Macaca mulatta: one gene and its partners. The protein of the gene in region 2 purifies or fractionates together with the protein of the main gene of each other region. This does not show direct contact. Links are inferred from orthologs where the notes say so. Each region holds a gene or a part of one and is shown on either strand. Other genes may lie near its edges.

Region 1 (4,144 bases), on a different chromosome or scaffold from region 2:
TATTGGAAGATGATTATAACTTCTTAAGGGGTTCAATCTGATTTTTTAAAAGAAAAATAATTCTTTTTTGCAGAGTTCCTTGCAGTGAGGTAAAATATTCAAATATGGGAGGCAGGCATATAAGGTAAATGACCACAGCAGGGAGGGTGTAATAAGATGAGTGATAGAGGTCTGTGGCAAACTGGAGTGAGTGAAAATTATTGGTGACCACTCTAGCTGACTATTCCCATGCTTGGTATTCATATTTTTCAAAAGCAGCTGGAAATCTAGATTTTTGAATGAAGTCTGGCTTTTAAATGTTGATAGGATTTTGTCTTTAACTTGGGCTCAAACCAAATATAGCTGCAGACTGGATTAGGAAGGCCACCAGTTTAAGGTATTTTTCCATGTCCAAATGTTTGAAGAGAATGCACACAGAAAAGGTTATATTTTAAGTAATATGCACAGTGCACATTGTAAGGATAACAGCTTTAGTGCTTCCTAGGTGTCTTAGTCCATTTGGACTGTTGTAACAAATTCCCATAAACTGGGTGGCTTATAAGCAGCAAAAATTTATTTCTTAACAGTTCTAGAGGCTGAGAAGTCCAAGATAAGGAGCTGGCAGAGTTGGTGTCTGGTGAGGGCTGCTCTTCTGGCTTAGAGTTGGTGCCTTCTTGCTGTGAGCTCCCTTGGGCCTCTCTTATAAGGGCACTAATCCCATTCATGAGGGCTCCATCCTTATCATCTAATCGTCTCCTAAAGGCTCCCCTTAATACTGTCCCATTGGAGATTAGGTTTCAACATAGGAATTTGCGATAGACCACAGTATTAGGGGTATTTTGACTGCAGCAATGAGTTTGCTGCTGTTTTGAGAGAGAGGTTGTGCTTTATGCATCATGTGTTCCACGGGTTGGACACAGTGTTCATACGTGATCCTGCCTTTTAGGCAAGCCCAAACAAGTGTTTCTCCTTATAATACCAAGTTAATACAGAGCTTATTAAATATTTGAGACAAAGGGCCAAGAGAAATGTGAGGCCCAAATTTCCCTTTGTAATTATTGCTGGCAAGGTGCAAGCTTTTAGCACGTGAACTGTTTTCCTGGAAAGCACACACATGAAAACTGGAGTATTCCTTCCGGGGAAATCGACCTCTATTGGTAGCCATAGCTCCCCCTTCGCTAAGAACTGCTGTAAGCACGGAATCGCTATCAATAGAAACCCTTCCGCGTTCCTCGGTAACTAAGGGCAACCCAGCGCTCCCGGATGTGACGTCAACGTTCTTGTCTTCTGTTCTTCCGTCTGTCGACCGGACTCTAGGCTGCCAGGTTTGTTTGCTGTGTACGTGGAAGAAGCAGGCGCATGCGCACACGGACCCCTTCATCTCAGCTGTGCGGGAACGGCAGAGGGTAACATCCCGCGCGCTCGGGAGGCTCTCGGGGTCATGGCCACACGCTGACAGAACTAGCCGAGTGGAAAAGGGAGCCAAGCCGTTCCTCTGCACCCTTCCGCAGGCCTGAGACCTTCCCGCTTGGTGCTGCCGCCGCTACTGCCGGCTGAGGAGGGGCGATGAGTTGGTTCAACGCCTCCCAGCTCTCCAGCTTCGCTAAGCAGGCCCTGTCCCAGGCCCAGAAGTCCATCGACAGGGTTCTGGACATCCAGGAAGAGGAGCCGAGCATCTGGGCCGAGACCATTCCGTATGGAGAGCCGGGTAAGAGAGAGAGGAGCGGGGTTCCCGGCTCTCGGAGGCTGCTGTTCTCCTGATGCAGACAGGTTAAGTGGTGTAGAGAGGGGTCCTTCCTTGCTGAGAGAGTTCTCTGGAAGTAATTTCTCCCCGGCCCATTCCCTAATGCTGCTTCAGCCTCCAAGTCGGTCTTTGCCGTTTTCCTGAGGGAAAACCCAGCCCCAGGTTCCCCCTTGTCTTTGGTCGTGGGTGCGAGGCTTGTGGACTTCGATGACAGGGGACTTGGTTGATTGGTCTTGCCCTCAAGCCCTCCCTCGACGCAACTTCCAAGCACAACCTTTCCGAACCTGAACCTCAAATTGCCTCGCGTCTCCTGCACTGTTGGGATCCAAGATCTGAAGTACGTAAATCATCAGGGAAGGGAAGAACAATCGCTAACATTCCGTGAACATTTCACGCTTGGTAGCGCGTAATGTGGTTTTATGTTGTTGTTGAGACGGAGTCTCACTCTGTCGCCCAGGCTGGAGTGCAGTGGCGCGATCTCGGTTCACTGCAACCTCCGCCTCCCAGGTACCAGCGATTCTCCTGCCTCAGCCTCCCTAGTAGCTGGGATTACAGGCTCCCACCACCATGCCCGGCTAATTTTTGTATTTTTAGTAGGCACGGGGTTTCACTATGTTGGCCAGGCTGGTCGAACTCCTGACTTAAGGCGATCCCCCGCCTCGGCCTTCCAAAGTGCTGGTATTACAGGCGTAAACCTGTAATGTGCTTTTTTATGGCCTTCTCATCTTCAGAACGACTCCCAGAGTGAGCTTAGTTTATATCTGTGTTTTACATAAGAGGAAAATGAGGCCCAGAATGGCCAAGTAACTTGCTCTAGGTCACACGGAGGATGAGGATTAGAATGTGCTGGAGGTATTACCCAAGGAATGTGTGATCCAAGATTTTTGGATTGTATCACATTTTATTTCTGAATAGCCAAATCTCTCTTGCAGTTTCATTGAGCTTAATCTTTCAGGGATCTTCATTCAGTTGCTTTTGACTCTTAAGTCTAAGGAGCAGTTTAGCATTTGATGTGTGGGGTAAAGATTTGCAGGTGTGGGGGATGTGAACCTTTGTGTGAAAAAGGATAAGAGATGTGCTTGACTACTCCTTTCTGGTTTCTGTTCTTAATTTTACATCAGTGAAAAGTCAGGACCTAAATTTGAGGTACCTCATTTTAAGGCATTTTAGTCCATGTGTGTATGTCATGATCCTCAGGATGCCATATAACCTTGCTGGAGTAACTGTTTTTTTTCATATGTGCCCCAGTTAATTAGAATTACTAAACTTTAGACAAGAAAGAATATAGGTTTTATATGTAAGGATATTTGTTTTCTGAAAATGACCACAGTCTTCAGAATGGTATAATTTTGATAGATGCCAGATAACCCTGGGATTATATAAAGTATTCTCCAAGAGGCAACATTAATTCCTGTCATCCTTTGAATGTGTTTAAATTAATCAGACATAATCTTGGTTGTTCATTTGCATCTTTAATTTTGATTTTCTCTGGTTTGGATATATTATGCAAATGGATGTGTAGAACTATGCCTCCAAACTGAAGTTTTCTACTTACTTTTCATCCTAACTGAAGTCATATATATATTTACATATATATATTTGGTTTTGAAGTCATATATATATTTACATATATATATTTGGTTTTTTCCTTGAGACAGAGTCTGGCTCTGTCATCCAGGCTGGAGTGCAGTGGTGTCATCTCTGTTCACTGCAGACTCTGTCTCCTGGGCTCAAGTGATTCTCCTGCCTCAGCCTCCTGAGTAGCTGGGATTACAGGTTTGCGCCACCACACCTGGCTAATTTTTGTAATTTTAGTAGAGACAGAGTTTTACCATGTGGACCAGGTTGGTCTTCAACTCCTGACCTCAGGTGGCCCGCCCGCCTCAGCCTCCCAAAGTGCTGAGATTACAAGCGTGAGCCACTGCGCCTGGCCTGAAGTCATATTAAAGGATAGATTCTACTGTAAGGCTTGATAGTTTTGAGAAGCTTTTAGTTACTTGTGCTCTCTCCACCAACTTCTAATTGTGAATATTTTGTTCAGCCACATTTTAATTTGGAAAAGAAAACATTTTTAAAGAAATGCTTTAAATATTTTAACAAATATACCATTTTTAAGATCCTGATTATGCCATTTTTAAAAATCAGGATTTTAATAGTAGCTATTTGTATGACTGATATGATAATTACCTTTTTCCCCAAGAAAATAGTCATTTTCTTTGCAGTATTTTTTTAAAAACCCTAGTGTCAACTACCTAGATCTATGTCAAAGAGCAATAGTTCTTAAGAACACATTTCTGAAATTCATAATGACATTGTAATTTCTGACATAATTTAGAATTTGAGAACAAAACCTCCTCTTAGAGTGGGCTTGGAGAGTGGAATTTAGAAAATCAGCCTGTGATTAAGTGGATGAAAATGAAT
Region 2 (3,500 bases):
CCCTTGGTAGTTCCCGTGCACAATAAGGTCTTAAACATTGATGAACATTAGCATGGTGGGGGAAATTAGGCCAGGAGTTACAGATGGAAGGATGACGTGCCAGTGGTCTGTCTGGATTGAGACCATCAGCAGCGGTTGGTGGCAGGCAGAGGCTTGGGCCTTTTCAGGTATTACCTTTCTTGTTTGGGGCCTAGGTACTGGAGAGTTAGAAATGAGTTGTAGCAGTGACTTTCATACATCTTCGCAGTGGGGTTTTTCCAAATGAAAACTTGAAGACTTAAGTACAGAATTGCTAAAGGTAGAGCTGCTTCTGTAAGTGCAGGTAGCCCTTTGACCTGTTTTGCATGACAGGCAGCCTCTGAGGCCCTTGCAGAGTCCTAGATGACCACAGGCCACAACTAAAAAATCACTGGCCCCTAAGAATCCTAGTCTCACCACGTGTATTCTGGTAAGGGCTCATTCTAGCCAATATTATGGCTCCTGGGGCTGCTCAGTGGACTTGGTTGTCTTCAGGGGCCCCAGAGTTACAGTGAGTGTCCAGAGGATGCCTGGTCTTTGTTCTGACCCTGAGATGATTTCTCTTATGTCTGGGTTGTGGCTGGGAGGCTGGTGCCAAATCCTACCTTGTGCTTACAGGTATACCTTGTTAGTGGGCAAACCACCTTTTGAGACTTCTTGCCTAAAAGAGACCTACCTCCGGATCAAGAAGAATGAATACAGTATTCCCAAGGTGACTAATGATGCTTTAACTTTACATTTATTTTGTTTTCCCCAAAAGCTGTTTATGGAACCCAGCAATATCCTAAGACCAGAAATAGGTCTATCCCACCTCTAGGATAGCCACAGAGCTTACGAGGGCCTGTGTCTGAAATTACATACAGAACTTGACATGTATGTGCACATAAGCATTTTTTCTAGGGGGAGAGAGTTGGCAGATTCTCAAGAGATTGGGTAGCCCAAAAGTTGCGTAAAAAGCAAAAAACAAAGGAGGTAGGAAGGAGTAGGAGGCTAAAGTGCTTAAGCTTTGGAAATGGATTATCTTAATTCAAATTGAGTCTGCCACTTAGCCAGATCACATTGGGCAAATGGCCTGCATCTTCTTTTTTTCTTTTTTTTCTTTTTTTTTTTTTTGAGGTGGAGTTTTACTCTTGTTCCCCAGTGCAGTGGCATGATCTCGACTCTCGACTCACTGCAACCTCCACCTCCCAGGTTCAAGCGATTCTCCTGCCTCAACCTCCCAAGTAACTGGGATTACAGGTACCCACCACCTTGCCTGGCTTTTTTTTTTTTTTTTTTTTTTTTTTTTGTATTTTTAGTAGAGATGGGGTTTCACCACGTTGGCCAGGATGGTCTCGAACTCCTGACCTCAGGTGATCCACCCGCCTCAGCCTCCCAGAGTGCTGGGATTACAGGCATGAGCCACCATGCCCAGCCTGGCCTGCATCTTCTGAACCATAGTTCTCGTCTATAAAGTGGAGTTCCTGCCTTGGAGCACCTCACAGAGTGCCTTACATGTAGTAAGTGCTCACAGAATTATGAATCACTGAATCCCAGGGCTTCCTAATGGCATAGTGGTGTGCAATTTCCTTTTTTTTTTTTTTTTTTTTTGAGACAGAGTCTCACTGTATCGCCCAAGCTGGAATGCAGTGATGCGATCTCGGCTCACTGCAAGTTCCCCCTCCTGGGTTCACACCATTCTCCCGCCTCAGCCTCCTGAGTAGCTGGGACTACAGGTGCCCGCCACCACACCCGGCTACTTTTTTTGTATTTTTAGTAGAAAGAGAGTTTCACTGTGTTAGCCAAGATGGTCTCAATCTCCTGACCCTGTGATCTGCCCGCCTCAGCCTCCCTAAGTGCTAGGATTACAGGCGTGAGCCACCACACCTGGCCATGGTGTGTATTTTCACAACCACCAACAGAAATGCATTTAAAGGAATAGCTGGTTCCTGCAGAAGCCTAGCACACAGCCAGTTTGAAGTGTAGTGTCCTTGTGTGAAGCCAAGAGGCCTGTCACCATAAGGACGGACATAGTAAATCCATCACAAAGTGTCAGTTCACTGTCAGAGACAGCATGGAATCAAGCCAACTAGACAAGGCCTTCACCCTCTCTGTGCCTCACTTTCCTCCTCTGCAAAAAAGGGATGATAATAGAGCCCCACCCCTTAGATGTATTAGTGAGGGCTAAGTGAGCTAAGTACAGGAGTGCTTAGAATGCTTTCCTGGCACATAGTAAGTGCCAGGAAAGTGAGTTGGTGCTAGGCCACAGTCCATTGACCCTTCTGTCAAAGGTGCTCAGTAAAGCCGACAGTGGAGAAGTTGGCATTGAACCAAGTTGTGAACCACTAACCTGGGGTGTATTTGAGACTGGGGACTGCGTGTGGTCTATTGGCCTGCAGCCCCTTTGAGGCCGTACTGTACTCCGGGTCCCCTTCACATTCTGCTTATGGCTGTCCCTCTCTCTGCCCTAGCACATCAACCCCGTGGCCGCCTCCCTCATCCAGAAGATGCTTCAGACAGATCCCACTGCCCGCCCAACCATTAATGAGCTGCTTAACGACGAGTTCTTTACTTCTGGCTATATCCCTGCCCGTCTCCCCATCACCTGCCTGACCATTCCACCGAGGTTTTCAATTGCTCCCAGCAGCCTGGACCCCAGCAACCGGAAGCCCCTCACAGTCCTCAATAAAGGTACAACAAGGGTCTGGGTAAGAGAGCAGACTCCCCAGAGAAAGCCCAGGTTGTAGGGGTGTGTGTGGCTTAGTCCCTGGCCCCAAGAGCTCAGGTTTGGTTTAGGACAGACCTCTGTCCTTAAATTCGTGATTCCCATGCCCATCTGCTCCTCGGCCTTGCCGGGAAAGACTGACCTTACCATGGCTGGATAAACCTGCTATGCTCAAGAAGAAGAAAATGGACTGAATACCAAGCCTAAAAAATTCTTTCCAATCACTTTAATTAATTAATTTAATTTTTTGGAGACAGGGTCTCTCCTCTATTTTCCAGGTTGGAGTGTAGAGGCACAATCACAGCTCACTGCAGCTTTCAACTCTAGGGTTCAATCAATCCTCCCATCTCAGCCTCCCAAGTAGTTGGGACTGTCAGGCATGAGCCACCATGCCTGGCTAATTTTTTTTTGTTTTTGTAGAGACAGTGTTTTGCCATGTTGCCTAGGCTGGTCTTGGAACTCCTGGGCTCAAGTGATCCTCCCACCTCCACCTCCCAAAGTGTTGGGATTACAGGCATGAGCTGCTACGCCTGGCCTTCTAACACTTTTTCATGATTCATTGAAAAACATAAAAATTTCCTTTTTTTTTTTTTTTTGAGACAGGTCTGGCTGTCTCCTAGGCTGGAGTGGAGTGGTGTGATCTTGGCTCACTGCAACTTCTGCCTCCCAGGCTCAAGTCATCCTCTCATCTCAGCTGAGACTACAGGCGTGTGCTGCCATGCCTGGCTAATTTTTTGTATTTTTTGTAGAGACAGATTCTCACTTTGTTGCCCAGGCT
Region 3 (3,979 bases), on a different chromosome or scaffold from region 2:
TGGGAGGACCGCTTGAACCCAGGAGGTGGAGGCTGTAGCCAGTCATGATCATCCCACTGCACTCCAGCCCGGACAACAGAGCAAGACCTTGTCTCAAAAAAGACCCCAGGCCGGGTGCGGTGGCTCAGGCCTATAATCCCTGCACTTTGGGAGGCTGAGGTGGGCGGATCACCTGAGGTCAGGATTTGAGACCAGCCTGGCCAACATGGTGAAACACCCGTGTCTATTAAAAATACAAAAATTAGCCGGGCATGGTGGCGTGCGCTTGTAGTCCCAGCTACACGGGAGGCTGAGACAGGAGAATTGCTTGAACCTGGGAAGCGGAGGTTGCAGTGAGCTGAGGTCACGCCACTGCACTCCAGCCTGGGCGACAACAGGAAAACTCCGTCTCAAACAAAACCAAATCCCAAAATTTCTCGTCTAAATCCTTCCCCCACGACGAGGGGACTTATCTCTTAGCGGTGGGTTATAGGTAGGAATATTCCGCGATCCCTCACTTTGACATCGCTTCGAGGACAGCCACCTCTTTCGGGTAAAGAAGCCGCAATAGGAAATCCCTCTGATAAAAATTCTGCTGTGGGGAAGGCGGGCATCGATCCCACTACCTCTCACACGCCAAACAAACACTGCACCACTTATGCTGAATTCCTAGCTCAGCCCAACTGCTGCAGCCGGCGCATATTATGGCTCACGTCATCACCGGTGTCCCCTGCCACCCCCGCCCCGCCCGGCCAGCTCGCCACCCCATTGGCTCCCTTGAGGCTCCGGCTTCACGGCCATGATTGGTTTGGCTCAATTTAGTTTTAAAAGCACTGGCCATTCGGATTGGTGGTCCGATACGTCCGTCAAGCGGAGGCCCTGCTGTTGCTACGGCGTAGGGGGACCCAGACAGGTCTCTCCCGGTTTCTGATTTGTTTCTCAGGCTCCGGGGTCCTAGAGGTTCCGGATCCGTCAAGTACATGGGAAAAGAATGCGCCCCTCGCGCTTGACTGACGAGGCTTGCGGGCCAATCGGAATGGAGTCAAGGGAGCCGCTAGGCGATCCAATAGGTGGTAGGGGCCGGGAGAGAGGGACCAATGAGCCTGGAGCTGGGGGAGGGGGCAGGGCCGCGATTGGCTGAGAGGCGGCCAGAGGGAGGGCGGGGGGAACTCAAGGCCTGCTTGATACGTCCGCCATTTTGGGCGCTTTGCTGATGGTGTCGGTGAGCGCGTTTCCCGCCTGAGCGCAACTAGCGGCGGGTCGTGGGCACCTCCAGGTAATGGGGGTGGGGGAGGCGCTGGAGCAGGCCGCGGCGCGGGGTGTGCGAGGCGCGCGGGCAGGCGCGGGGCCCCTCCACCTGGGCCTCGGCGGCTCAGGGAGGGAGCGTCCCGGCCCCTCTCCCCTCCCCCCCCGGAATTCGTCGCTCCGCGGGCCCGGGAGGCGCGGCGCCGAGTCCTTCCCGGCCGCTCCCAGCCCGCTCCTGTCAGCCGAGGGCCCCGCCGGGACGGGCGCCGGGAGCGGGACGCGGCCGGGGCGGCGAACTTTGCGCCGCGTTGACGTTCGCGGCCTTGCGCGGCGGGCGGGAGAGGCGCGCCCCTGACCCGGCTCTGGCTCCAGTCTTCCCGCCCGCCGGCGGCGGCCCGCAGCGTCGCCCACCGCCTGGCCCGCGCCCGGTCTCCGCTCCCGCCGGGCCTCCCGGCCAACTCCTCCCGGGGGCCTCGGGGAGCGCGTCAAGTTGAGGCAGCAGCTCGCCGTCAAGAGTCGCGAAGGCCATTGTTGGACTCTGCTCTCCGGGAAACAAGTTTTGTGGGTTTCTGTTAATTCGCCGCAGAGTCATCGGGATCCACACCAGCCAGTTCCGAGGCTCCCACTACCCTTCCCAGTGGCTTTTTAACTGCAGTGGTGGCTCTGATGTAGACTGTCTCGAATGCCTCCCTGGTGTATTTGAGCCGGGGGGGGGGGTGGTCCTTCTTGTGGCTTGAAGTCCCTCCCTCTTAAAGAAGCCCATTCACTATTAATTTGGAGGTGTTTCCTGTTGAGGTCCTGCTGGCTGTGATCACAATTTGGACTTCTTAATTATAGGTGAACGGGATGGGTCTTTGGATGTACCTCCGTGCCCTGACGTTTCAGCCGCGTGACTTAATGTCATTTTCCTGGTACTTAACGTTTTTTCTGTGGGACTTTGGGTGTGTTTTGCTTTTATGGGAGGGGGTCTTGACAGGCATTCCCTTTCATTCTCGCAGCACTTGTTGACGGGGTGGTAGCCTACTTTATTCATGGGAAGTTTACTTCGATTTTGTCCTCAAGGTCATGCATGTTGCAGATAGGTTTCAAGGGGAAACGGGACTCCAGGTTTCCAACCATCGAAATGTGCCTCAAGTAGCAAGTGTGTGAGACCCAGTTATGGTGGTGGTTGGATTTTCCTCACTGTGGAGTGGAGTCAGTGACCACTTTTTAGCTCTCTGACCTTGGGCAAGTTACCCAGCCTCTCTCTCTCTTATTTTTCTCTGTAGAATGGGAGTAATAATAAGCGTCCCAGCCATAAGTTTGTCAGGACTATTGCCCTAATACATGTAAAACAGCGAGAACCGTGCCTGGCACACAGAATCACCTCAGTGTCTGATTAGTGATTAGGCTACCTAATGGCTATTATTATTTAATTTAAATTTGATTTTTAAATGTTTAGGTACTATTGGGAAGTCAGATGAGCATTTAAGCCCTGACTCTTGGTGACTGTCTTTAGAAAGCTCTGTGTAAGAGTCAGTTGGGCTGAAAAAGTAAAACTAGAAGTTACCTTTTTTCAGTACAGGGGTTTTGAACATTCCTTAAGTTAGGTACATTTACCGGAGTAATTGATGAGTAGTAGCACCTCAGAATGTTTAAAGAGGTGGTTAAATGCAGAAAAACCCATCACAAGCTTAAGTCGGCCTTTATTCCTCATGTGCTTTTGGATACTAGTTTCTGGGTGACTGCCCCCCAAATCAGTAACTTCGTGTACTCTTCGTTGTTACTGAAGACTGTAAATGTACCGTGAATTGCAGTATTTTTCAGCAAAGGTAGTTTAGGAAATAGCTGTTGTCCTGGAGGGATACTTTGGAAGGTATTCTCCACTTCAGCATTTCTGGTCAAGGAGTGTAGAACATTGAACACAATGCCGTGTACTCAGTTAGAAATAAACTCACAGTTCTTTACCACTTGCCCGGTGCTCTCCTCCATGGTACTGGAAACCTTGCGTGCCTTTCCCCTGGTATTGCTGTGTTTACTTGGGACTTGCTTTGCTGTATTGGAGCTAAGTGTGTTTTGATGGATTCAGTCTTAAGTAGAGATGAGTATCTTGCTGGTGGAACTTCAGGACAGGAAGAAGATTGTTTTGGGTTTAGAAGTCTAGCTTTTGTGTAAAGTATAGCAAAGCAAAGCAAACAAGCAAAAACTTGCTAGTTTCAATGAACTAATTGGGAATTTGAGAATCAGACCATAGCTGAGCAGAAAATGAATAGAAGTAACATTGACAGGATGAGGTTGCCTAGGTTTTTTTTTTTTTTTTTTTGAGACGGAGTCTTGCTCTGTCACCCAGGCTGGAGTGCAGTGGCCGGATCTCAGCTCACTGCAAGCTCCGCCTCCTGGGTTCACGCCATTCTCCTGCCTCAGCCTCCTGAGTAGCTGGGACTACAGGCGCCCGCCACCTCGCCCGGCTAGTTTTTTTGTATTTTTTAGTAGAGACGGGGTTTCACCATGTTAGCCAGGATGGTCTCGATCTCCTGACCTCATGATCCGCCCGTCTCGGCCTCCCAAAGTGCTGGGATTACGGGCTTGAGCCACTGCGCCCGGCCTTGCCTAGGTTTTTAAGATAAGGCTTTGGCCGGGCACGGTGGCTCACACCTGTAATCCCAGCACTTCTGGGAGGCCGGCGGATCACTTAAGGTCAGGAGTTCCAGACCAGGCCAACATGTGAAACCTTGTCTCTACTAAAAATACAAGAGTAAGCCGGTCATGGTGGCGT
Region 4 (4,228 bases), on a different chromosome or scaffold from region 2:
GACCACACATTGTGCCAGAAACTGTGATAGAATTTTTTGCATGTGAGATCATTTAATCCCTGTAGTTCGGCTGCAGAAAAATGGGATGCCATTTTACAGATGAGGTAACAGATTCAGGGAGGTTAAGTAATTAGCTCAAGGTTACAGGCCTAGCAAGGAGCAGAGTCAAGATTCAAACCTAGATCTGATTGCAAAACTTTGTTCCAACTATACCAGTGGTTCCCCCAAACTATCCCGTGAGCTCTTTTAAAAATACATCTTACTGGGTCCAACCTACAGAGATCCTGCATCATTGGGTCTGGGGCTGGTCTGGGAGCCTGTATTTTTAAAGTAACCCAGAGGTATGGATTGGAAACCTTCACCACTCTGGAAGCCTCTCTGGATTTTCCAGATTATTCATTGAAACTCTGCTCTATCCTAATTAATGCTTATTTATATGATTGTACTGAAGGTTACCACAGGCTTCTAACATGGTTCTCTCAATTGGTACCTTTTTCCTACCACTAACACTATTCAGAGCCTTTAGTGGCTTCCAGAACCATCATATGGTTCTCATGTCCCCGCCTTTACCACCTCCCAAAGCTCCTCCCCTCCAGCGAGGTGTGTCTGGAGCTATGTGGGGGCGCCAGGAAGGGGTGAAGAGTTAAGAGATCCAAAGCCCGGGAAGGTGCTGCTAAGCTGGTCTGGGAAGGGCTTTTGCAGGGCACCGGCGGACAGAAGGCAGGCATCCCAAATCAGAAGGCGGGCATCCCAAATCAGCAACCTTGCCTAACGCTGCCCCTCTGCTACCTCTTGTCTCCCCTGCAGTGGGCTCCCAGGACAGCTTGCTGGAGATCACCTTCCGCTCTGGAGCCCTGCCCGTGCTCTGTGACCCCACGACCCCTAAGCCGGAGGACCTGCATTCGCCGCCGCTGGGCGCGGGCTTGGCTGACTTTGCCCACCCTGCGGGCAGCCCCTTAGGTAGGCGCGACTGCTTGGTGAAGCTGGAGTGCTTTCGCTTTCTCCCGCCCGAGGACACCCCGCCCCCAGCACAGGGCGAGGCGCTCCTGGGCGGTCTGGAGCTCATCAAGTTCCGAGAGTCAGGCATCGCCTCGGAGTACGAGTCCAACACGGACGAGAGCGAGGAGCGCGACTCGTGGTCCCAGGAGGAGCTGCCGCGCCTGCTGAATGTCCTGCAGAGGCAGGAGCTGGGCGACGGCCTGGATGATGAGATCGCCGTGTAGGTGCCGAGGGCGAGGAGATGGAGGCGGCGGCGTGGCTGGAGGGGCCGTGTCTGGCTGCTGCCCGGGTAGGGGATGCCCAGTGAATGCGCGCTGCCGAGGAAAATGCCAGCCGGGGCCCGGGAGAGTGTGAGGTTTCAGGAAAGGATTGAGATTCTGCTTTGGAGGGTAAAGTGGGGGAAGAAATCGGATTCCCAGAGGTGAATCAGCTCCTCTCCTACTTGTGACTAGAGGGTGATGGAGGTAGGGCCTTGCAGAGCCCATGGCTTCAGGAAAGGGTCTCTCTCCAGGACTGCCAGGCTGCTGGAGGACCTGCTCCTACCTGCTGCATCGTCAGGCTCCCACGCTTTGTCCGTGATGCCCCCGTACCCCCTCACTCTCCCCATCTCCATGGTCCCGACCATGAAGGGAAGCCATCCGTACCTTCTCAGGTACTTTGTTTCGGATATCAGGATGCTCTGAGTTGCCTAACCCTCCCCCTACCTTTATGAGAGGAATTCCTTCTCCAGGCCCTTGCTGAGATTGTGGAGATTGAGTGATCTGGGCTATAAAAGCCAGGCTAGTCCTTGTAGTGTGAGCATGGAATTGGAATGTGTCACAGTGGATAATCTTTTAGAGGAACTGAATCCAAACGTTTTCTCCAGCCGGACATTGAATGTTGCTTCAAAAGGAGCCTTGAAGCTTTAACATGGTTCAGGCCCTTGGTGTGAGAGCCCAGGGGGAGGACAGCTTGTTTGCTGCTCCAGGTCACTTAGATCTGATTCTTGTTTTGAAAGCCCTGCCCTGCCCACCTCCTGCTTGTAGCCCAGCCCATCTAAATGGAAGCTGGGAAGTGCCCTTCACCTCCCCTGTGTCCTGTCCAGCTAAAGCTTTTGCAGCACTTTACCTCTCTGAAAGCCCCAGAGGACCAGAGTCCCCAGCCTTACCTCTCAACCTGTCCCCTCCACTGGGTAGTGGTGGTCAGTTTTTACTGCAAAAAAAAGAAAAGAAAAGAAAAAAGAGAAAGAAAAAAAAAAGTGAATGCAGGCTGATAGCTGAGACTGTGAGACTGTTTTTGTCCACTTTTCTGAATCACTGCCACTTGGGTCAGGGACTGCAGCCATTGCCACCCTTGGCCCATCTCTCTGGGTGCGTGCCTTGAGCACACCTGTAAAAAGTGCCATGTGCAATTGTCTTATCTTTTATGATCTAGGCTTTGCCTAGGGATCACCACTCCTTAATGGGCTGACTGGGGCAATGAGGGAAAGCTCCTTTGCTCCTGTAAGGCCGTAAGTGGCTGTTAACAGATTTTCAAATGACTGAAGAGATTGCTGAGACCTGCTAGAGTCATATGTTTGGGGAATTAAGTCTTTATCCTAGACAACAAGCTACAGATGCAAACTGCAGTATTTTTGGAGGGTCAATCGGCAAGGATATGATTGTCCCAAAATGGAGTTCATCGATCCTAGCTTTGCTTTAGAATGTATATAAATAAAAGTGCAGTCCTCTTCTAATGGCCACAGTTGATTTAGCCCAGAAAGTCCAAATGAAAGGAAATAAATTCAGTTTTATGTTAGCCTTCCTTGGTGCATCAGGGTGTCAGTGGAAATAGGATGGGGTGGGGTGTGTGTGTGTTTTGTGTGTGTGTGTACACATGTGTTTATATATACATGTGTGAGGGAAGGTGTGTACCTATATGTAGGATTGTGACCAGACAGAAAAGAGTGGGAATCTCCAGGGTGTTTGAATCAGCAACAGATTTGTGTTTTCTAACATGCATTTAGTTGGAGAGGCATGGTTCTGTTTGTTTTGTTTTGATCTAATTTGCCATTGGAAATAGGTACAGGTACACAGAGAAGGAAGAACTAGAAAAGTGAAATCCATGAAACTAAATGAGCAGCTGTCAGGAATCCAGTGTGACTGAGCCTACCTAGCTTGTTAAATCTAACCCAGGGTTCCTTGAGTCCAAGACCGCTTCGATTATTAAGATTTTGAATGTTCAGAGGAGTGAAAAGTCTGTTTTCTGGACGTAAGCAGGAGCTGAGGATAAAGCCAGAGGCCAGTGGATTAGGTGTGTGGAATGTGGATGGAGAGGGCTTGTGTGGGATGTGGCCAGGGAGCGAGTGAGGAAGGCCATTTCTAAATGGTCTGTAAAAACTTAAGATTGGATAGACAAAAGGAAATGGAGAGATTAAAGAATTGGGGAAACTAGTTATCTGTGTTGCTGACTTTGGGACCCATCCAAGACTCTTGCCCTTGGGGTGTTCCATGGTGGTTTCTTCCTGCCTGGGCCCCACCCTTTCCCCAGTTCAGGCCCTCCCTGAAGGACTAGTTTGTATATTGGCATCCTCCCTAGTGGGACCCAAACCAGTGCACACTTGGTGTGTGGAGATGGGAGACAAAGGACAGATCTAGGAGCCTTGAAGGATCACCAGCCACCAACCCTCCATCAGGGCCAACTGGGCAGGAAAGGGAACATTGCAGACCTGATTTCCCAACGATGTCACCCTGTCCTCCCTCCTTGCTTCTTGCTCTGCTAACTCAACTCTGCCTTCCTCTTTTTCATTCTTCTACTTTGCCCTATATGGAGGACAAATGGACACCAGGGGTGCTGACCTTATTGGTGCCTGCCCCAGCCTGCCCCAGGTGCCAGCAGGCTCTCGTGCACAGGAGTCTCCCACAGTTATGGAGCCAGGAAAGAATTTCTCCACACTGGATGGACTGTATATTGGGATTAAAAATTATATTCCTTATATTCCTGCTTATATCAATGCTCTCTCTGTAAAACCTCTTCCTAGCCTCATTTCTCTCAATGGATCTTGTTTAGGAGTTGTATTCCTTTTATTTACTCTTTGCTTGACTGCTTCCTCCTAACCCTCTACCTGCTAGCCCTCTACTTCCTAAAGCTGTGTGTCATTAACTCTGTTGGATCAACTCTCTGGGAAAAGATTCTGTTAATGTAAGTGCACTTACTCCCTGGATGTTGTCACTAGTCTAGTGGCTTTTGCTAAATAAATCTTTCTTATTTC

What was found. Proteins that work in one complex are often made in the same cells at the same time.
Region 1: the proteins of PLK1 (region 2) and TMF1 purify together in Homo sapiens (affinity purification with mass spectrometry; 5 studies listed by BioGRID and IntAct, counting the BioPlex papers as one, with this or other methods). This does not show direct contact. The link is inferred for Macaca mulatta from reciprocal best matches to the Homo sapiens genes PLK1 and TMF1.
Region 3: the proteins of PLK1 (region 2) and PPP6R3 purify together in Homo sapiens (affinity purification with mass spectrometry; 3 studies listed by BioGRID and IntAct, with this or other methods). This does not show direct contact. The link is inferred for Macaca mulatta from reciprocal best matches to the Homo sapiens genes PLK1 and PPP6R3.
Region 4: the proteins of PLK1 (region 2) and C1H1orf226 purify together in Homo sapiens (affinity purification with mass spectrometry; 3 studies listed by BioGRID and IntAct, counting the BioPlex papers as one, with this or other methods). This does not show direct contact. The link is inferred for Macaca mulatta from reciprocal best matches to the Homo sapiens genes PLK1 and C1orf226.

What each region holds. Positions count from the first base shown.
Region 1 is NC_133407.1:132,607,672-132,611,815, reverse strand, and holds the start of TMF1 (TATA element modulatory factor), read left to right. Parts: upstream 1-1,344; 5' UTR 1,345-1,545; coding exon 1,546-1,687; exon of another isoform or gene 1,688-2,060; intron 2,061-4,144. UniProt on the Homo sapiens protein: Potential coactivator of the androgen receptor. Mediates STAT3 degradation. May play critical roles in two RAB6-dependent retrograde transport processes: one from endosomes to the Golgi and the other from the Golgi to the ER.
Region 2 is NC_133425.1:23,225,285-23,228,784, forward strand, and holds part of PLK1 (serine/threonine-protein kinase PLK1), read left to right. Parts: intron 1-636; coding exon 637-730; intron 731-2,468; coding exon 2,469-2,688; intron 2,689-3,500. UniProt on the Homo sapiens protein: Serine/threonine-protein kinase that performs several important functions throughout M phase of the cell cycle, including the regulation of centrosome maturation and spindle assembly, the removal of cohesins from chromosome arms, the inactivation of anaphase-promoting complex/cyclosome (APC/C) inhibitors, and the regulation of mitotic exit and cytokinesis.
Region 3 is NC_133419.1:6,159,125-6,163,103, reverse strand, and holds the start of PPP6R3 (serine/threonine-protein phosphatase 6 regulatory subunit 3), read left to right. Parts: upstream 1-1,179; 5' UTR 1,180-1,255; intron 1,256-2,061; 5' UTR 2,062-2,135; intron 2,136-3,979.
Region 4 is NC_133406.1:104,534,618-104,538,845, reverse strand, and holds the start of C1H1orf226 (uncharacterized protein C1orf226 homolog), read left to right. Parts: upstream 1-1,428; 5' UTR 1,429-1,651; exon of another isoform or gene 1,652-4,228. Other genes in the region: NOS1AP (carboxyl-terminal PDZ ligand of neuronal nitric oxide synthase protein), read left to right, coding at 808-1,223.